Tribolium castaneum: one gene and its partners. The protein of the gene in region 4 interacts with the protein of the main gene of each other region in a pairwise test. Links are inferred from orthologs where the notes say so. Each region holds a gene or a part of one and is shown on either strand. Other genes may lie near its edges.

Region 1 (5,696 bases), about 3.7 Mb from region 4:
TCGGTAGGAGAATTTTGTCGCCTAAGGACAGCTGAGCCGTGAGAGCTCTTGAGTGAAAAATTTCAAGACGAGATGCACCGAACGTGCACACCATACGTTATGTCAAGTGATTATGCTAAAACCCCCAACAGCTACAAATTTAATTCTCTAAACACGTTTGTGATGAATGGCCCGTAATTAACATTATTTAATTAGACGGCACGAGTTTTAAAAACTGCGAACCAGTGAGGCATAATTTAATCGTGTGGTCATAGAATGTTGACTATTATTGAACGACCATTCACCGAGATGGTGCACGACCTCTCATAATGCACCGAATGCAATGACACGCTCTGTATTGCTTCAATCGAGATTCATTTGTGGTTTTGATGAGGCGCGATGACAAATTGCTTGAAAGTTCCTTTCAGCAACTTCAAAATCCGATCGTTTTGCTTTTCGAAGCAATTTAAAGAGAATCAAGAGTGAAAAAATTAATGATAATGGCCAAACTTCTTCCACCTGGCCGCCATTCAAGCGATTTCAAAATATCATTTCATTTAATTCAGATGGAAGTCGTTTTAGACCTGAATTATTTCAAGCTGCAGACAATCTTGATCTTGTAGCAAACTTGCCGTCTGTGATAAAACACTTTCAAATGGGGAAGCCCCGTGCGTCGGAAACTTGGTACATAAAAACGATAAAAGTAATAAGTGGAGTAGTCAGTGTGTGGAGTTAGTAGGTGTTCCTGAAAGTTATTGTATCAACTAAAGCAAATAGAACGAATGAGATAAAATATTGGCCAAGTCCGCAGGAAGAAATAGGCAGAATCGATATCCTATCCGCGATAAATGAGGCGTAAACAAATACATAAACATTGATAATCTAGGAATGAACTGCTCATTATTCATTCTAATACCCGTAAACGCAACATGCACAATAATGGCAAATGCAAAGCCCAAAGCACCTCCACTCACTGTATTTACCAAAGAACCAACTTTTTACGACTTTGCTTAATCAGCAGAGGAATTTCTCATGTTTACCCAAAAATTATCACCCCTGAGAGTTATCAATGTGCAGCGCCATTAGGCCTTCCTTATTTGTCTGTTTCATTACTTCCAGGTGGATTTTAACACGTTTTCCACTGTCTGAAGCTGCTCTTCATGCACCACCGTTCAAAATAACTCGTGGTATTTTTACACCCCATAGGTGCGTATCCTGATCAGCTGTCGCCTCACGTTTCCTCTCACCCTAAGAATTCCAACTGCTGGTGACGGTTAGAGCAGACACCACGTCCCTTCTGCTTTCCGGTTTCATAACATGCAAAGAACTACCTTGCAACGGTCGCCTAACGATTGTTTCAGGTGGCGTATGGACAAAGAGCCGTTTGAATTTTAATCAAGCCGTTTGAAAGTAATTGATTGGAGATTACGAGCGATGAATGGAGGAATGTTGATGCATTTCCTCGGAAAAAAGTAAAATGAGAGTGAACTTTGCGTTAATAACGTTCGCTTTCATCGTGACAAATTAATAAATTAATAAGGACATCGGAATGACTGCGCTCAAGATCAAAATTAATTAGACAGAAACACATGATCTCATTCACGGTGTGCATGACCTCCTGAGTTTTCATAATTACGCTCATTACGAGAGCCGGATGCTCAAGTTTAAACTGATTTTCCTACTCTCAATGAATGTACACTAATTTTCTGGAGACTTCCTCTAGCTGCTGTCTAGCCAGTTCGGTTTTCGAAAAGAATATTTCGCCATAATTCTCGGGTTTCACAATTCGTGATGCATCTTCTCGTAAACTAATATTTTAATAGGTTTAAGATGTTATCGGGTAATTGATTGGGCACATCGCAGGCTCTTCACACGATTCACGATAATAAATTTACGAACAATGACCAATAACCTCCACTTAGATCATATAGATGACTATCGATTTTAACGAAGCGCTCCATTGTCGATGTTTTTACCAATTTACCGCAAAAGCCGGCCGGTATTTTTCTGGCAATCATCGGACTTTAATAAAAAGATCAATTGCACCAAATTACATTTGTGGAAAATAATATTTTGTTCGTAGATCACTACTTAGACTTTAATTTGAAACAGGCCGGCTTCTCCCTCAGTAACAAATAAAGGTGGAATGACTAGACGTTTCTTTAAATTCTTGGCTTTATTTGCAGAAGCTATACAATTAGTTACCTCTTCCAATATTAAGCTTGAGTAATAATACTATTATATAAGCAAGGCTAGAACCAGATTAGACATTGAAACAGCCGATTATGTTATGGTATGATTCAACTCTTAGAAAAATTCAGTTAATTTGTATTTGATTGTTTCAATCATAAAGTTTTAATGATTTATCCATAAAACGAAACAAACGTGTATGCAAAACAGACGACAAAACGACTATGAACGTGAACAGCTGGACATAAAATGAATGCATGTTTTTGGAAAAATTATAGATGTTGTTATGCAAACACCAATTTATTTCTATTATGGCATGCCCAGATATTCATAATTTCCTCTCATGGTCAACCTGTTTTAATTTATTCTGTGACTTTCTTTTTCATTTTGGACTTCCTCCTAAAAGTTATTTTACTAAAAACTTGAGTGTGATCAGAGTGGTGATTTTTGCAACTCCTTTGGATGATTGAAGGATAATTACTTATGCAATTTCCGTTGCGACTTGTCGATGGTAGATTATAAATTAAGTATGCAAAGTTTTGACGGGCAAGTCAAAGGAATAAGGATTCAGCATTTGGAGGTAATCAGGCTTCAATTAGAGCTTCGACCAGGCGGAATAATAATGAATGGTTGTTCTTCGTTAACGACGTGGAGGTCGCGATGCGAGTCGGTTGAAAAATTGTAAAAAGCTCCGGTAAGGCAAAGGTGGTATAGCGACCTTGTTTCTTTGAGAACGCTAGACAAGAATCAGAAAAAGTACAAAACCCGAGCCGATGGAGGCACGTTTCTTGAATTTTTTTACTTCTCTCGCCGACCTTAGTACACAATCGATCGCGATAAAGTATGTATCCAGTAAATCTTGAAGGTATTTCAAGGCTACAGCGCGCCATCAACGAAATAATTCTACCTGAGGAACGCCAATACAAAACCACTACTTACGAACTGTAACCTTCTTGGGATCAAACGCCGACACCTTTCCCTCCACAGCCGCGATCTTCGCCTTCAGACCCTCGGACCTCTTGTTGATCTCCTTGAGCTGACTGCCCAGTTCGGCGAAGATGTCATCGGCGATCAGCACCAAGGAGGCGAGTTGCCGCAAGGCATTGCTCAGGGTGTTGTTGGTGACGGCCTCCAGCTCATCGTCGGAGACCAGAGGCTTGCCCTCTTCGTCCCAGAGACTCGTCCGACTCAAAAATTTCGGCTCGACAACTCGCTGCACGAACGGCATTTTCACCAACACTTCATTTTCACTCAGTTCGCGCACTATCACATTCTGTGAGTCTTTACCAAGTTTTCCATTTTTTGAATCCGAAGATACGCGCCTTGCGGACGCGCAGCTACCTCACTGTCAGATTGCCGGCAAACAAATGCACGAGGTTGCCGATACCGCACCGGTCACGGTTCGAAACCGGGGCTTTCCCGCTGTTTGAGCTTTTGAATCGAAACCAAAGCGCATGACGCCGAAGTTTTTAGATTGAAGCCGCATCTAGCAGGCGATAGCCCAAGCACTAATAACAGGCAACAGCAATCTGCACCATAGTATAAGATCTAAACAAATGAAACTCGAGTGTATGGCCACAGCAATAGAGTGCACATTGTTTTGCGTTCACTGGATTAAATAATGAAAATATCACTTATTTGAGATTAGACCGAAAGCGGTCCTGCAAATCCTACCGACTGCGCCAATTATCTCATTCAAAAACAAGACATGAGGAAGCAAAGCTATAAAGATAGATTTCTTTTTTTCGGTAGAAAATCTATAAAATAATCTGTAATAAAGAGACTACATTCACCAGTGGTTTTTATTCCCCATTCTTTCCACGACCCTTCAGCCTGAGGCGAAATAAAGGACAAAGGTCTGGCACAAAATTTATTAACAAAGCAACATTATTGTACACATATACAGTATATTATATAGTTTTGCATAATTATATGCGACAATATACAAAATAAAATCTTGTTATAATTCTTGAATAAATATTATTGTTCCCTTATAACAATATTAATATGATATTCAACAGGGCGATATTACTTTTAATTTGATATTTCACGATAAATTCGTAACGTTAATGATTATGTAAAAAAACCTCATCAGCTTACTTAAGCACATTATAGTTAAAACATTTAAAAACGAAACGAAAAAGAAAGCGTCAACAAACCCTGTAATATTTTAACATGGAATATTTATCTCTTAAATATATTTTTACACATACATCATCACATATAAACAACCATCTTCTTTGCGTTAGTAATACATTGACAAGTCCATAGGCGAAACAAGGGGTGTACTTTAAGCGTGTCTGTTCATTTAAATAAATTTGTACTTTACCGAGGAAATAACGAACTTCATGAGGGACTTAGCAAAACACCGTCAAGTAACGAAGTGGAACCCTATCGTGCTACAACAAGACATACAGCTATCGTTTTCTACGTAGGCGAAATGATAGAAAACTAGAAAAAAGTCTTACAAAATAACTAGCCTATAAGTACGTTTCTTAAAGCTATTACTAATGTTGTCATTTTGACACAGATAATGTTAGAAAGAAAGTAAAAAATCTAAATCTACGAGAAACAATCGATTAACAAATTGGTGTTTTAGACGATTCTTGTAAACGGATGTCTCTACCGGGCACCCAAATGTCCTATCATCTATTACCTATTGTTACATAACGAGTACGCTATTTTAGAGATTGGTTGGGGTCTACAAAAGTTACAAGAAGACATCACATCAATCCAGAATATTATACACATTAAATGCATTCTGGCACGTTAATTTTTCATAGGTACAATATTAATCTCCTTATAGAGGATTAGGTGTAGAACAGTAGATTTTTATTAGCAGTTTCATTAATCAGTCGCCACGTTTCGCCAAATTTGTTAGGATCAAAGCAATTTTTGGGCGTATTTTAATTTCCGTGACGAGATTTGTTTGGCACATCGCAAGCTAGACAATGCGACTAAAAATAAAAACAAGTGCGATATTGCAAACATCGATTTTCGGAATGAGATCAAAGGTAGGTAAGGAGTGTTTGACGAAGGTCTTTAATTAAATACTTCAGTCTTGGGTCATTCATTACAAAAACGATCGCTTCTGCAGTTAATGAGAAAACAGTTCATAATGATCCAAATAATTTAATTGCTTCAATAAGCACCACTCTTTTGTATTAAGGAATGCAATACTGTTCGACACGGATTCCCGTCTAGTGGCAGTGAATTTGAAGCCCCGTTTTCAACGAAACAATCGACCATTTTAATTGATGATGATAACAAAGCTCGCAGTATCTGAATTTGGGGCCTAGAGTCAATCGGTTTTTTCCCAATTCTCGAATCATCACATCTCACTTAACACGTAATCCACAAATAAGCGACTTTTAGACATAATTTTGCCGACACATCTCCAAATGGGAGTCGATTGCAATCACGAAATAGCGTTTCCCACCAAAGTGACAATTTCTCAATTTCCTGGTTGATGGAGTGAGACTGTTACGATCTGAGGCTCCGACGACGATATCCTATCTATGAGAACG
Region 2 (5,665 bases), on a different chromosome or scaffold from region 4:
GAGTGGAGCTTTGAACGTGCACTTTAATTGGGTTAACTCTCTAAGGGCAGCAGTCATTTAAAGTAATCATTAAAGTCCCTGCAGAAAATTTATCGTTTTCATGCTAAAATCCAGCATTAAATTAGTAAAGCATTTGCTTGAATTTAACGGAGGTACTGTAAATAGTTCGCAAAATTCCTCTAACGACGAAGAATGCGCTTGAGTTAAACTATTACCATAAGGCGAGCAAAACAAAGTTTTGAATACATTTGACATAATTGTCTTAGAGAAAATAATGAACAGTGTCCTCTTGACACGAGTTTTCGCTAGAAAGGTCGTCGGGATTAGGAGGGATAAAGTCAGTGAAGCTTTTTATCTTGATCGTGTTTGGAGCGAAAGCTCTCGCTGGACCTTTTTAATAATACAAAAAGCATTCGTCAATGTGAGCAAATTCGAAAAGCTGATTTTGGGAATTTATGGACCCGGAACAAAGTCAACTTTTTCATGTCTGTGGAAAGAAAACAAATCAAAAATATGAATTTTTCGATCGATTTCAATTACGTAAACATATTTTCATTTCCTTGTTAGCCACGTGAATAATTAATGAATTTCATTATTTATGTGTTATTTTTATCCATGGAAATTTTTCTATTACCCACCCAGCAGTAAATTTAGCATAACTTTGGCCGTTTTGATTTAGATCTGACAGTCCTAAAATTAAATTTAATATATCACTGTGCCAAATTTATTCAACAAATCAATACTAAAATCACAATCTAGATAAAAGAGAAACAATTTAAACTGCGCTTTTATTTTTGCTGAGAACGGAAAAACCCTGATCACATTCCGAAAATTGGAGGCAAATTTAAGGTAAACCTCGGAGGAGTTTCGAGCGAAACCTCTCCATTTATATTTTTCTTTAACCTCTAAACAAACGTTTTATTATGGATTGTTATCTCAACTAAAGATCAAAAAGGTTCAATGATTTATTCATAAAGACTGATTCCAGCAACGAAATAATTAAAGTTTCTTTTCAGGTAAATTAAACGCTAGCGCACGCAGCCTCGGTTTTCGTTATCACGAATACGACTGACAGCTACATTGAAGACTGACAAATAACAGTTCAAAGCGCTAGCATAATATCGAAAGCACGCCAAGTGTATCATTAGAAATTCCCAAATAAAAATCTTGATAACAAAGGATTTACACTTTTCTAGGACCTCGTGCAGGCTACTAAATTATTTAAACAGTGGGAATTTCTTCTACCCTACATTCGTTTACTTTTCGCAAAACCCGAGGCTACAAGGTTAAAATTTAATGACTTTTAGCTTCGTGCTGCGATCTCTGCGCTAATCCCGAAAAATAAAGAAATTTTCGTTATTTCGCTAAAATTGGGGAACAAAGGCAATAGGCCAGCGATGAAAACTGAATTCAATTAAGGATAACGAGATATTTAAATGCAGGACGGGTTTTAAGACACAAGTTTTGGTTACTGGATGCCCACAAATTAGTTTGATTTTTTAAATTTCTATTCTGCGAAAAAAAATCATTAAAACTGTTTTATCAGCAGCTGACGCTTCATGCAGGATTAAATGAGTGTACAGACAAAATAATATACGTTTCAAAATAATTAAAATAAACTGAAATTTAATTTTTAATTTAATGTGAACCAAAGGCAAATGTCGATTCAAGCTCTTCGTATTGAACGTTTCTTGATTCTTATTGAATTCCTCTCGTCTGCAAAAACACTAGAACCGTTAAATATCACTCAAGTAGACAAATTTGAGTAAAAGTTTTTATATATTAGACTGTAGCACCTTAAATTGAAATGTTTTATTTGCGTAATCGACTCAGAGATTTTTTTCAATAAGAACTCTCAAAGGAGCAATTTTCCCTCAATATCTTTCACTCTGTGTTCCTCAAATGTTCTCGGCATCGTTCATGCTGAAATGATTAGCATTCGATTCGAGTCGATTTAAAATCGAATTTTTGAGTCCATAATTAAATTTAAGAGCTTTCACTTTGAAGGTGGGAACGTGGCAAGGAAAAGTGTGAAAAATGGCTACTTACTGGAAGGGTTGCCAACGTTCTTCATTTCAAAGGACATAAGGAAAATGCTTTATTCCACACATTTTTCAGCTGTATTTCAAATAACGCTAAATGAGATTCTGAACAATTGTAACATGTACTTCAGAAAAAGTCAACAGTAATATGAGTTTAGAAAACATCAATTATTGTAATTCCGATCGGTTAGTAGTATTTCAGAAAATGTTACCGAAAATAGGCGGTGTTTAAAAACCATTTAGCGAAAAATTAGGAGGGTATAGCTTTCATTTTGGTGGAAATTTTTTGCCCATTAACCCATACTAAATAAGTCGTTTTGTCACTGGAGCCATTTTTTAGAATGCATCATCTATTCATAATTGCGTACTCTTCAAACTAAATGCGACTATTTCAGCAGTTTAAGAGCAAACTTTTGTCGCAAAAAAAGTTCATGTAAAACGGAAAATTAAGTTTTACCACCAAGTGTAAATAAATTTATCAGAGAAGATAAACATGTAAGTCTTTGGTCTTTGGCATAAACAAGAAAATATCACTTTTTGGACAAAGGATTAAGAGTTAGATGCATTTACTGTCGTAATGCTCCCAATAACCCCCGCCACCATAAGTTTGACAACATATTTCTAAAACACCCTGAATACTTTACTTTTTCTTAAATACAGTTTCTGGATGGACTTAAAGATACTGATAGTTTCTCATTTAATTTTTCAAAAGTTAGGTATCACAAAAAATAATTATTTTTCACGTATACTTCTGCAAAAATGTTTACAGGTAATTTTACTATAGAAACAAATATAGTTTTACATATTTGCAAATTTTTAACAGTTTCGGGCAGTCGATAAAATTAAATTTTATCGTGTAATAAGAAAAATTATTTTCGTTTCGGGAGGGTGTCAGCGCTACTTACTGGCTAAGTGTGCGATCTGTGGAAGTGGCTCCGGAGTCGTGGTGTCGGCGCTCTTTGTGGACGATCCCCATCAGCTTCATCCACGCGTTGTTCTTGCCCCCGGGCCCCCCCATCCCACTCTGCCACATCGTCATGATTGCGGATCATCACCATTTACCCCCCGACCGAAAAAAAAAACTTCACAACCGGTGCAAACACCAGGAAGTCACAAACAACACTAATCACTGCAAAAGCTCCAACCAAACAGCACCATCGTCGCACTTGAAACTCTCCTTAAAACTAATACTCTAAATTCGAACAATTGCGTTAATTTTGGATGAGGGTCGAAATAACGAAGCCTATGTACAACTTCTACAAACTATGTAAAAATGGAAGATAACTGGATAAAAGTAGCGAAAAACTGCCAAAACTATCTATAAACTAGCTAAACTACATTGAGCAAGATGTGAAAATTTTTAAAATTGACCTCCTGGTAAGTCCGATGGGCACGTGGACTAATCGCGCACGTGGTCCTCGTCCTCCGAGCGGTTCCGGGAGCCGGAGAGAGCGTCGAAGACCGCCCGATTCGAGTCCAACAGATCAGGCATCCTGGGCCGGCGGCGGCGTTCCAACAGGTGCAGGTCGGCAGCGGCGGCGTCAGTTGGCGGGCAGACGCGTCGCGACGCGTATGGTACACTGAGGTCCGGGCCTGACTTCGCGGGGCACGCAGGATGGGGCGCAGGCGCCGCCCACTGCGGACCACCTGGGCCACTGTGATGGGAGATCGCACTGCAGCACCAGCGCATCTCATCCGTCCATTCATCCTGCGGCAACCGCCACTGACACCCTCCACCTGCACCCCACACGCAATTACCACCAGGACTCCTCTTCGCAGACGACGGCGCCCATAAAATTACAAACGTACTATGCCGCAGCGCGACACGCGCCCCCAAACCCATCCCGCAGCTTCATACATCGCTTCAATTTTTTTCAACTTTTGGAAAGTATCCAATTGAAACACTCTGCAGATAATATTGAAACTTCCAATGCCTTTTAATAATATTGCACAAATATTTTACAATGCGGATGTGCGACACTGCAAACGTCCTAAGGCGGAGACACCACATACAGCAAATTCCGGGCATTGTTAATACAGAACACAAAAAATACTACCTTAATTGGAAAATTGGATTTTTTCCTAGCATAGAGGAAACAATGCAGATAAACAAAACAAGTTACAATACGAAAAAGCTCTTCCGCACAAAGTGCACCTCAATACACCGGATTTCCTTTAGACTTTTTAAACAAAAGAACAAATAACAAAAACACTGCGTATATAGTTTCTCACGTTGTATCCAAAATGTTTCAGATGAAAAGGTTGTACCTAATTACGTAAAATTTTCATCTAAAGGGTATTATAAAAAAAAATATTTCGTTGTTAGGAGAGATCATTTTAATACATTTTTGAAGCTTTGAAAACTTGAAATAGTAACAGCAAGTGATTTAAAGCGAGAACACAAAAGTCTTTTAAATTGATTTCAGCAAGAAATTAAACAGAAATTATCCAGAAAGTGAGCAATATGTTGCACGATTGAGAAAGCTTCAGAGGAACATTAAAATCTCCTATCTCCTAGTGAAAATCTGAAGCTGCTCCGCAACGGTTCCGGTGACAGAAACATTTATAATTTTTCTCTAAAAAATTCATAACTGGAAAACTAAAAGTATTACAGCAAAACGGTTTATTCCAGTAATTTCTACGATTCATTTTTCATATTATACTAATTTTTGACATTTATTTTTTTTAATTCTTGCCTTACTTTCAATAAAACAAAAAAAAATAAAAATAAAAATTGCGCCAACAACGTTGTATGCACTTTTCTACCTTACAACGATGATGTCTTACAACCCTCTAGAAACCGTAAAAGTGCAGGAAAACGTCAACTGCTTCGATTTTAAAACGTTCAATTTTAAGATTTGTTTACTATTAAGAGTAAGATAATTCAACGAAATTGCAATTAGTGAGTACTTAAGCTTTTAACTATGAGCCAGTTTTATTAGAAAAAAGTTTTATTGGAGGAATGACTAAAGCCAGGAAAAGAACCAGATATGTAAACTTTATTGTTTGAATATTATAATTTACCAACAAAAAGTCTATACTTAGGGTGTAGACGGACACGTAAACGTATCTAATTATTTCAGACAACACCAACCCATAATTTTAAAGAACTTTTAATTTAGAAGACGAAAAAGGATTATCCCAGAATTTTCATTTTCAATAGGTTAAGTTGAAAATTGGATAAGCTACGAGTGAAATTTACATTTGAAACAGTCCCCTACAAAATTATCTAGAAAAACTGTGTGATAGAAGACGTTCAAAAGTCCACATCAGTTTTAAAGTAACAATTAAAATTAGAGAAGAAAAAAAATTAGAACTAATATGTAGAAAAAATTCAAACTGACAAAAACTCTATGGAATTAGATATACAGATGAAGGAGTTAAGTCGAGTTGAAAAATCAGTTCAGTGCTGTTATGGACGTTTATTTAGATATTTAGTAATTTATAAGTCTTGCTTTTATGTTCAACAAAGCTATTTATTAATAAAAAACAGTTAAAAACGATTAAAAATATCATAATTTAGTACGATAATTATTATTATTATTATTATTATTATTATTATTATTATTATTATTATTATTATTATTATTATTATTATCTCATTTTCATTAGTATTGTAAAAA
Region 3 (5,684 bases), about 5.9 Mb from region 4:
ATTGACTAATTTGACCAATTAGAGCAATCCTTAAATATAACATTGTTGATTGTTTTTTTCAGCCGTAAAATTATGTCGCTTGTTGTAATTTTTATGCAAATAAAGATTTTTTTATTGGTGTTGTTTTAATTTTTTTTTAATGCTACAAACGGTAGCCAACGTGGAAGCGATATACAGGTACGTCCATTTTATTATTGTGTCGTATTTATTTATTTCACAAACCAATAATTTCATGAAATTTAATTGCAATTACAATGTTGTGTACACCGGCTCTAAATACGGTGTTGAAAAGTCATAGTTTGAGTGACTCATTTTAAATTCAGTAACTATAAACAAAATCAAACACTCAAACAATATATTGCCACGTAATAATTTTGTCTTTAATTTCAATGAATGAAAGTGGCTTGCTCAAAATTTAAAGCAAATAAACATTTTTTTTTGGGTTTCATTTTTATTATTATTATTTTTTTTAATGCTACAAACGGTAGTCAACGTGGAAGCGATATGAAGGTAGGTGTATTTATTTACTGAAGTTTTGAATTTGAATTGCCACATATTAAAACGTATTGTGTATTTTTTATTTTGTTTAATATTGACAAACGTTGCTTGTTGTAACTTTCATGCAAATAAAGATTTTTTTATTGGTGTTGTTTTTATTTTTTAATGTCTTGCTACAAACAGTAGCCAACGCAGAAGCCATATGAAGGTAGGTGCATTTTTTTGCGTTTTATCTTGTGATGTGTTGATTTAATAGCTTGTGTGCCATATATTATACCGTATTGTGTATCCTTTATTCTGTATAATATTTATTAAAGTCGCTTGTTGTAACTTTCCTACAAATTAATTTTTTTGTTGGTTGTGTTTTTAATTTATTTTTTAGGTTTTGCTACAAATGGTAGCAGATGCAGTTCAAAAGGTAAGAGCATTTATTTAACGCCAAGTGAAAAAGCTTTGATTTTTGTGTACTATTTTTTCATTTCACAAACCAATAATTCCTTTATTCCCTTCATTTTCAAATAATCATTGTTTACCTCATCCTTATATCCTTTTTTCCTGGCAAGAATGCTCTAAACCTCCACGTGGTTCTTGCCGGACAAATTAGTTATTGACTAATTTGACCAATTAGAGCAATCCTTAAATATAACATTGTTGATTGTTTTTTACAGCCGTAAAATTATGTCGCTTGTAATTTTCATGCAAATAAAGATTTTTTATTGGTGTTGTTTTTAATTTTTTTAATGCTACAAACGGTAGCCAACGTGGAAGCGATATGAAGGTAGGTCTATTTTATTGCTGTGTCGTATTTATTTATTTCACAAACCAATAATTTCATAAAACTTAATTGCAGTTAAAATCTTTAAATGCGGTGTTGAAAAGTGAAATTTTGAGTGACACATTTTAAATACAGTAACTATAAATAAAATAATCAAGGAAGCTGTGTCAGTGAGGGCTCTATTTGGCTATATCAGTTCGGGATGCCTGAATATAACCCCAGAAAAATGATAGGTTTAAAAAAAACACTATTACAAATTAGTACATTTATTCAAAACACGGTCACAGATCGGTGTACATACACAAAGAGATATAAAAGGCTACATTTAATGTCATTTTTAGAATACTGATCCTTTGAGATAAGCTAGAGCTACGGAAAAAATTGCACTGACATATCTTACAAATTTTAGGCACAAACAGTCCAAACATGCCGAATCTTTGGACTCAAACCTCTTAAATGTATCTACATCAGTTGACGCTATACTTAAGTACCTGCCTTACAATTACTTGTGCTATAATTTACACTTTGTGCATTCATAAAACGAGTAAAAAATAAATTACGAGTATTTTGAGCTGAAATAAACATTATTGCAAAAAATATCACATAAAACTGATAAAAATTTCGTTTTGGTCTTACACAACCACGGAAATTATTTACACCCTATTAGTTACACGAAGTCTTGTAATAACGTTAATTATTTAAGGAGGAATAGAATAACCGCTTGACCACGAATTATACAATACTACAAACCGATATGTGCTTAAATAAGTCGATCGTAAACTATAGGTCATACCGAGGTCTCCGAATTCAGCCTCAAAACAAACTTATTACTCTTCGGATCAACAACCTCTTCCGTAATATTAAAATGCGGGATCTTTTTAATCGTGCAAAGCAGCGAGACATCGTTTTGCCTCAACTGAAAGCTCGTATTGTCTCCAATCGGGCGCGTTAGCAACTCCTCGCAAATCAGCGCCCACGTCTGCACATCCTTCACTTCCTTATCATTTTGCAAAACGGGCTCGCTCACTAGATACTGCTCGAGGAACGCTTTCGGGGTCAGATCATTACTGAGACAATTGGCTAAATGAGTCAAAATCGACTCGACGGAGTGCCTCGGCTGTTGCCTCGTCACTCTTAAATACTTCTGGAGGGCTCGTGCCATCGACGGGAAAATGGCCTGGGCGGCCTCGTGCGGGTCCATCGGGATGGCAGGCACTTGGTCGTTATGTAAGCGTTTGATATGAGTGAAGGCTTCTTCAGCGGCTGTGATCAGTCGAGCCCTGCGTTTTTTCACACGTCTCTCGTACTCGTGCTCTTCGTAGAAGCGCTCGTTGTGACTCGAGTCACGTCGGCGTGCATGCGCCGCCAACATCGCCCGTGACTGCGACTGTTGCAAGGAGGAATTATTAACACCATCCACTTCGTAAAATTTGAAACTTGAGGAGTTTTTGCGCGATTTTGACACCGGGATGCGCTCCAAGTACGGGTTATAAATGGGGAACTCAGTGTAGTACTTTTCAAGGACCCAAACAGCCGCTCGCTGGATGCTTAACTGGCCTATGGCATAGGCGCGGCTAGCGCCATCGGGGCTCCGCACAACCTTGATGTAATACATCGGTTGTTGGTGCCTGATCTCCATCAAAACTACAGCCAAGTAATGGATAAAAAGTAGCGTATCAGTCAGACTTAAGGCGTAAGCCACCAAGGCCTCATAATCCACCGTTTCCTCCGGTGTGGTGGCGGCACGCGCAGTCTCGGTCACTTGAACTATATAAAACAGCCAATAGGCGAAAATACAGACTAAAACAAAGGCTAGGACAGCCGCCCGAAACAGGAAAAACCTTGGCAAGGTCGCATTCGGCTTGCGCAAGAACACAGCCCAGGCCCCGACCGCCAAAATGGCCATTTTGAACGCCAACGACACCAACTGGCCTTTACATTCGGCCCCGCAAGCTAACAATTTCGCGCTGTCTGCGAGTCCCAGCCGCGAGGACAGCGCAGGGAAGAACCCCAGTTTTGGCAATACGACCATGGCTAAGGGGCTCAAGAAGGCAACTATTGAAAGGATGTACGTTAGCACCGTCCCCATGTATCTTTGGCAGACGAAGGAGAGCCCGGTGTCAGGTTCACCGGGCCAGTTACTGACGTCTTCGGTCGACTGGGACTGCTCGGACGTGTTCCCGGTGATGGCAGTGGTGTTCTCGCCCCAGTTGTCGTCCTGGGGCAGGATTTGCACCTCGATGACCTCCTGGCCGTCGCGGTTGTCGGGGGTGAGGGTCACGGCCGTCTGGAAGGGCGCCATCTCGTCGTTTTTGCGAGACTTGGAGCTTCTGTAAAAAAATTACTTTCAAGATGGTCCAGAATTGTTTGGGCACGAACCTGGTGCTTCTGTGGGAGTGCTGTCGGTAGTTGTTGCGGTCGCGGTGCCCCCGTGAACGTCTCGATCGTGAACTGTTTTCCGATTTTATGGATTCAGTCTCCATATCTCGTCCAGTTTCGTTGCCCATGTATTTTCCCAAAAGCCGGATTTTTTTTGCAAGAAACTGTCATGAGTGGTTCTTTATCAACACTTTTGCGGGAATTCTCGTCAAAAATCCTGATTATTTCACTAATAAGTTCAATGACTCCTCACGTTGATGACATTTCGTAAACATGTATTTGTGCATAAAAAATCCAAACAATTTCCGTTATTTGGAGCCTTAGGCCACTTCCGGGGTTCGTTTCGCTCAGGAGGAATGCATTTTCTTGGGATTTGTTTCGTAAGAGTTGCGTAAATCGTTTACAAATTGCATTTAAATTAGTGCGGCGGCTTGTGTGCGTTTTTCTAATAAAACTGGATCATTTTTCTCAAACGGCACTTGGAACACGCACCGTTTTTTCCCCACACACGTAACCAATTCCCTCCGACACTCCACACATGCTTTTTTATTCAAATTTATTCAAAATTTACTGAAAACTAAATCGGAGTTTATAAAATGTAAACGCCTACGTTTAGGAGCAATTTAATTGCCCCATAAATTATGGCTGCAACATGGCTACCGTGTAAACCAAAAATGACTAAAAACACTAAATAGAGCAATTCCTTCCAATGAATTTCAGTCAAAGAAACCGAGACGAGGAAAAAAATAGACGTAGTCTAGACCCGGGAAGATAAATTTCAATTGAAAAAAAATCCACATTGTCTGGTTATCGCAAAATTGGCAAAAACGCGCTTGGTTTTTTCTTTCCGCCAGGTTTACATCATGTGGCTGCGTCACGTGACCATGACAAAGTGACATTTCTCAAATTCCGGATTTATGTTTACCAAAAATGGCAAGTGATTCGAAAAAGAAATCGTCCAAAGGGCTCACGCCCGAGGAGATCCTGAACGGCTTTCAAGCGCTAAGGGCCGAGCAGCGCACCCTTTCATCAAAACTGACGGAATTCGAAGCCGATTCCAACGAACACAAGTAAGTTTCCGGCCCGGTTGTGGCCCCAAACGTGGGGCTGTGGCGGCGAAACCCACGGCAAATTACTCAAAATTGAGTAAATTTTCATTTTTGAAATGAAATTTTTTTCGTGGTTGCCGGTTTTTTTGTAAAATGTTACATAACCTCGCTTTTACAGAATGGTCATCGCCACTTTACAAAACGTGAACGAAGACCGGCGTTGCTTCCGACTAGTCGGGGGGGTTTTAACTGAGCGAAAAGTGAAGGACGTTCTTCCGGCACTTGTTGCGAATTTGGAGAAACTCAAAGAACTTATTGAAAAGTTGAAAGAACAAATCACGAAGAAAGGTGTGGAGATTAATGAATACAGGGAAAAGTATAACATTAGCTTTAGAGGGTTGGATAATCCGGCCCCGAAACAGGAGGAGCAAGTGGCGGCTTCAGAGAGTAGAGGAAATGTTTTAGTGTCTTAAATATGCATGTGCTTTTTTTATTTACACCTAAGCTAGGATTTTTCTTTTGTAGAATATTTATTTTATGTATTTCATTCGAATTTGGTCGGCATTTAACAAATTCATCTTTTTCTATGAGAGCTGTGCTGGTTTTTTGCAAGGTAATGTAACATATTTCATCCGAATAAAAATTTAATTTGTAAGTGGTTTTTTATTAATTTACCCCCATTACCCAATGACGAATTACGTAAGCACCAATAAATTATAATCTCAATTGCATATTCAACAAAAAAAAACAATTAAATTTCTTTCGTTTTTTGTGGCTGTATTATTGGTTGCCTAACCATGACTTTAAATTATTTCTCTAAAAAATTCAAATGAAAGCCTTAATAAGTTTTAATAAATTAAAGCACTTAATATTCACCACATTAAAAAAAACTGGTTTAATTATATAATTAAATTACAATATAAGTATTATCTAAGATAAAAAAAAGATAGATAGTAAATAATAAACCAATCATTTATTAAATC
Region 4 (5,717 bases):
GTATTATACTTCACTGAACTTTACATGCAAAATTTGAATATTTTACACGGTAATATAACAAATATTGGCCTTAAACCATCACGCCATAACCACTCGCTATTAACGCGAATTTGCATGAGGATGGCAAATCCTCGAAATATCACGCCGCAAGCTTTATTGTTATTATAATTTTATTATTTAAGTATAATACACGACTTTAGAGTTGCGCACAGAATACGCAACTGGAGAACGTTTCTAATTTGATGCTTCTCAACGTATTTAAATCGATCAATCTTCGCACGTACATTTTTTATGTACGGTGTTCAGTTTGTTGTAGTAACTGCTTCTACGTTTCGATTGAGCAATTCTCGAACACAACTTCCAATTAATATCAGATGCGGAACGGCATATCACAGAGGAGAAATCTGAATGATTCCAGTTTTTCAGACTTCAAACGATGCAGGTTTCGTCTTATGTTTCGTAATTCCACTTGAAGTTAAATAAAAATGTTACTTAGGATATTCTTTTATAAATACAGATACCTACTCTTATTAGTTATTTAACCGGTGGGAAGTAGGAGCACAAAACCAAGTATGGCTGAGATTTTGCAATATTTTCAACAAATTGTTTTCCGTTTGAAATCATACTTGAGCCCTTAAATCACGTTTATTAAAGAAGAAATGATTGAGGTACAGTGGATCCAGCCTTGAAGATGCATTTCGCGGGGATTTTCAGACATGCTTTGAAAGCTGGATTTATTGTACTTTCTTTATGTATTTATTGTTAGGCTTCTAGCCGGTCTGTCGACAGCGTACAAAAAGCAATAAATAACGTCGGATCTTATAAGACATGTTAGGAATTATCTCCTTTTATGGTGAGCAATGTACTGCCAGGAAGTGGATCCGACAGCAAAATCTCTCATCGATTTATGGCGTCCAAAATATTGTCACCCAACTTATTACACTACAACGGGTTATCCACTTTGCAAACTAAACTTTTGATCAAAACAATTTGGAAAATTGGACGAACCAACTTCTTGTTTACTTTAAAACTCACTGTCAAAAAATGGCAAACTTAAATTTAATATTAATCAGTGCGGTGGCCCTTTAATTAACCTCAAGACAAAACTTTTAACAGTGGAAGTTGTAATGGAGGTGCCCACTAACTTTGCAAGTGTTGCTACTGACATGTAGTAGATGCTAAATGGAACTTGAAAACCATCTAAAACACACAGTGAGTGGCTTAGCAAAATAATGCTACTTTTACTAATTGAATCAATAGCCACCCCCCTGTAATCTCGAGAAAAAGTTCAAAATTTGTTGAACGAAGAATAATTCCGCGGATGTAATTTTGACTAATTAGGACCGAATTTAATTAAGACAGGAGCTTAAATGTCTAATTAATCGAACAGATTTCGGGAGAAAAAGAAACCTAATTAGTTCCAGAAGCAAAAACTAGTCCCAAATCTTAAGCTTACTGTTTTATGGAATTAATAAATTCTCTACACGTCGTCAGTTCACCCCAAAAATTTACATAGTTCTGGCACGTAAATGAATAACGAGCTAAAAACTACAGGCAGGAGCTTCAAAGCATTTATGACATTTCTTGCCATCAGAGAAATATCGTAACGAAATAAAAAAGCAGAAATTGTTAGTTGTGATCGCTTCAGCATCTTTTTCAAGCTGTCGTTCTATAAACGATATTTTAAAAAGTAAATTTAACAGCGTCAGTTGAGCAGTTAATGCATTGTTGTCACTTCTCGCTCGCTAAAAGTATAACAAGGACTCTACAAAAAGCTCCTGAATTAAAAACTTCAACGCGTCCTTTAACAAAATTCAGAAACAACATGGAACACGATCCCAAAGCTTGTTATTGTTTTTGTTGTTGCAAAACCGAAATAAACTTTTTCAAACAATATAATCAAACTTGTGATTTTAAAGGATATGGATTAACTACTTCCTATCAACGATAATCACCAAAACGTTAATCAGAAAATCCTGATTGAAATTCTAACTTAACGTACTGTAAACGTTGAATTTTTCATTAAATAATTCTCCAGAGATCTGTTTTTTCTGACAGACCAAATAAATCGATCCCTGATTAGCTTCATTAGTAAAATCCAGAGAGAACGAGAAAATCTTAATCAAGCTTCGCCAAACTTATCCGAAATCAAGGCGAACTAAAATAATGGTTACAATGAAAATTAATTATTAAACAAAGTTAGTCAACGTGCACAATTTAGAATAATTAGATGAATACATTATCGCTGCAGTTACGTGAAATATTTAGCACTGGAAAATTGTAAATTAAATAGTCTTTGTCATATTCAAACGTTCACAATATCAAGATTGTTTACACAGAAAACTACGCTTGATTATAAGTGACATTCTACAGCAAGGTACTTACAAAAGCAATTTCAACAATGAAAGTATATCTTGTTGAAGACAAGTTGACTGAAAATAAGCTGTTTCAAACAAAGCTACTGGAAAATACTGGAAGAAAATTTATACGAATTTAGCACAGAGCGTTCGAAACAGACCACAATTAGCTTTCCGGTGGCCATGGTCATAATAGTTGAAAGCAGACCAATTTGGACCCAAAACTTTAACTATAAACCCTACTTTACTATAATTATTTTTAAATTTTTAAGCTTTGTGAAGCGCTTTTCAAAGTAAATCAGTCCTAATAGATTTTATAATTTTGAAAACAATTATAAATTCACAAAGCTTTGCTTCCGAATAAAAAATAATCAAATTTATGCGCAGCACAAAAAGAGAGTGCTTTTTTGAATCAAAAGCTTTATTGCTCCTAACCCAGGCATAGTTGAAGCAAAAAACACTAACGTAATGTACACGTTAATTATACATAATATCTGTGTGTATTTTCAGCTATTGGGTGCGTTAATTTCGCTAAAATTATTTACCATGATTGCATAAAGCATCAGTTCATATTTTTGTACTGGATGGCGTGGCTAATCCTTCAGGATAAAAGCAGACACCATTGTGATTTTTTGTTAACTATTGATTTATTTTTTTGTCCGTTTTGTTTCTTTCTTCTCCAGCAGTTAGCTCATTAAGAATTCACAAACAGTGCTTTATGCTATTAAGCACAGATTAGAGAGTAGTAATTTATTCGTGATTATCACATTTTCGCAGTTTTGACACTTACGCTATCGGACGGAAAGAGATTATCGTATTTCATCCTTATGAACACAGGCGGTGCGAGACTTGAGTTTCCTAAACTCATTTGAAAGTTGCAAAGAAAACTGAAGATATCATAATATCGTTTTTTATTATTGTGTTTCTTTCTCCCTTCGAATCGGTAAAGTACAATTAAAAGCGAAACTTGGACCGTTATCCGAGGCGTTTTCACATCTCCCAACAAGCCCTAAGTTACTTACGACCCAAGCAAAGAAGTAAAACTCCACCTAACACAATCACTCGCACCACACAAACTTCGCCAAGAGTCCTCTAAACATCAGCTAAATGTATCGGCGCACGAAATGTCACTGCAAAGTTTCGTTTTTCAACAGGTACCTCTTCAGTGCACCAGTCATGGAACGCGGATGCCGCGAACTGGGGACGGCGGCATCTCGACGCTTCCGACGCCTCGTGCACACCGCGACTGCGTGTTTTTGCCTCTCTCCGCCGCTCTTCGACGGTGTGCACTTGGTTAATCTGCCCTCTTCCATAAATATGTAGTGACATTTGCATGAAAATTGAGATCTGAGAACGCAGCTCCTTTAATATATGTATTAAGGACCTGACTAATTAAGAAGTTACATCGGAAAAAAGTCGCAAAACTCAATTAAAAACCAAACAAAAAATATTTACATGGAAAGTAAATCAAGAATCAGAAACCCGGCAAAAGCGGAAAGTTTTCAACAAAATTGATTAAAAGTTTTTATTTGCAATAATTATTTCAATAAGAACGAAAAAACGCCTAACTGTACCGGTGCGGTATGGCTTAATATATAAGCTCTGCTTACAAGTGTGTCAAATGAACTGCACCGTAAATAAGTGCAACTTATTGTCTAAAGCGTGGTTTAAACTAAACCGCACCTTGGGTTTAAAGACATTAACAACATAAATTATCAGTTCAATGTTTTAAGAAATTGAAAATATCATTTGTTTAACACCAGTAGATTCTTTTCAAAATTTCCTGCAATGAGAAATACGTGAGATAATCGCTGCAAAAGAAAGAAATCGTGACGTCACAACTACCTCTCATCATATAGAATCCTCTTATCACTGAACCCTCTCAATTACTAAAAACCAGACAGATATTTGGACATTTTTCACACATCTTATATAAAATCAAAAATTGTCTACTTTCTAGACTTCTTTCTGTTCTAAAATTTAGAGAACGTCTGAGCAATTTTGTCAACTTTAGATTAATTTTGTCACTAATTTAGTATCCAATATTATGAGTAAGTTGATGTTTGAAAATGTTATTTGCCGCCTGCTATTTTTAACAATTGCGATGTATGTGTTGGAAGATTAAAACGAAACAGACAAACCCTTTTACCTAATCTCGCATTGGCTGATCAAAATCGATACGAAAACGGTAAATTGTGTTACAAAAAAGCCTGCAAAATGCAAATAAATCTAAATTGTGAAAGCAAATAAACAACAAATCGAACGCCTTTCTAAACGATGATCAAATAGACGAAACGAATCCCGACTGTCATTACACCCAAATCCTATTATATCGACAAGTTCCTAAAGAAGGTTGCATCAATCTGAAAAAAAAAATGAAAAGAACGAATCTTCTACTTAATTCAGAAGCCGTTTAATAAAAAAGTGTTATTTGGACTTGTTTGTTATCGTTGACAATTAAAGTTAATAATATCACATCCTGCTGCCTATAAGCCTTTACATTCGGAGCTCGAGTATTCGACACCGAAATACGTGACTCATTAAACAAGAAAGTGCTTTACAGAGGCTTCTTGTCCTACCCCCAACTGTGTAATTTTTATTGCACAAGCTGGGAATGAAAATGTTACTCCAGATAGGTGGGAAGTCTCACTTTTCATTAAAATAATGACGCAATAAAAGATAATGCAAGATAAACCTGCAAAAGGGTTGGTCAACACCCAGTAATAAAATCGGCCTAACGAGCTTTAAAGTACAAAGCGGAGTTTGATTTTTAAAGAGTGTGGCACCAGAGCTTTGTTTGATCCTTTATATTCATGAGGGCCAAAATTTTTTATTGTCACACAGAAAGCAAACACATTTGGTTCAGTTAAAAGTAATTTAATCTAGTTCCGTGCACGTTTTCACAATATTTTTCAAGCTACACCAGCTCATTTTTGCAGTTTTACTGCCTGTTCAATTTTTTCTGTAAAATTCATAGTCCGTTTGAGAAAAATTTGCTAATCAGAATATGCAAATTCGGGAGCTCATTTGCTCCATTCAGAAGAAACTGGAACATTTGATTACGAGCTTCCAAACTGCTGAAAATTAGTAATTTTATTTTTGCAAGAAGAGATAACTTGCCGCATGGCTAAAGCAACAAGATCGCAAATAATATCCGGCCTTTTTTAATGTTTGTCAATAAAACGAACAGAGTACATTCAAAACACGATAAATAATGCAAATGCATCAAGTTTTTTCTCAAAATTTGTCCTGAAAGCAAATCACTTTTGCGGATACATCATTAGAGTTGTTTTGTGTTTTTCAAATCTGCTTTTGCATCCGTTCAAAGGACGGCCTTGTTTAACAACGTAGGTATTGCGG

What was found.
Region 1: the proteins of dlg1 (region 4) and gukh interact in a two-hybrid assay, tested with the Drosophila melanogaster proteins (4 studies listed by BioGRID). The link is inferred for Tribolium castaneum from reciprocal best matches to the Drosophila melanogaster genes dlg1 and gukh.
Region 2: the proteins of dlg1 (region 4) and Sh interact in binary tests that used the Drosophila melanogaster proteins (3 or more experiments, as listed by UniProt). The link is inferred for Tribolium castaneum from reciprocal best matches to the Drosophila melanogaster genes dlg1 and Sh.
Region 3: the proteins of dlg1 (region 4) and Vang interact in a two-hybrid assay, tested with the Drosophila melanogaster proteins (3 studies listed by BioGRID). The link is inferred for Tribolium castaneum from reciprocal best matches to the Drosophila melanogaster genes dlg1 and Vang.

What each region holds. Positions count from the first base shown.
Region 1 is NC_087397.1:4,770,845-4,776,540, forward strand, and holds the start of gukh (uncharacterized protein gukh), read right to left. Parts: upstream 3,559-5,696; 5' UTR 3,398-3,558; coding exon 3,109-3,397; intron 1-3,108.
Region 2 is NC_087394.1:28,574,273-28,579,937, forward strand, and holds the start of Sh (potassium voltage-gated channel protein Shaker), read right to left. Parts: upstream 3,619-5,665; 5' UTR 3,082-3,618; coding exon 2,948-3,081; intron 1-2,947.
Region 3 is NC_087397.1:2,596,049-2,601,732, forward strand, and holds Vang (van-gogh), read right to left. Parts: upstream 3,774-5,684; 5' UTR 3,757-3,773; coding exon 3,653-3,756; intron 3,604-3,652; coding exon 2,061-3,603; 3' UTR 1,540-2,060; downstream 1-1,539. Other genes in the region: Pfdn2 (prefoldin subunit 2), read left to right, coding at 4,583-4,722, 4,880-5,174.
Region 4 is NC_087397.1:8,451,510-8,457,226, forward strand, and holds the start of dlg1 (disks large 1 tumor suppressor protein), read right to left. Parts: upstream 3,542-5,717; 5' UTR 3,380-3,541; intron 1-3,379. UniProt on the Drosophila melanogaster protein: During embryonic development, some isoforms are essential for proper neuronal differentiation and organization. Required for cell polarity; maintenance of apicobasal polarity.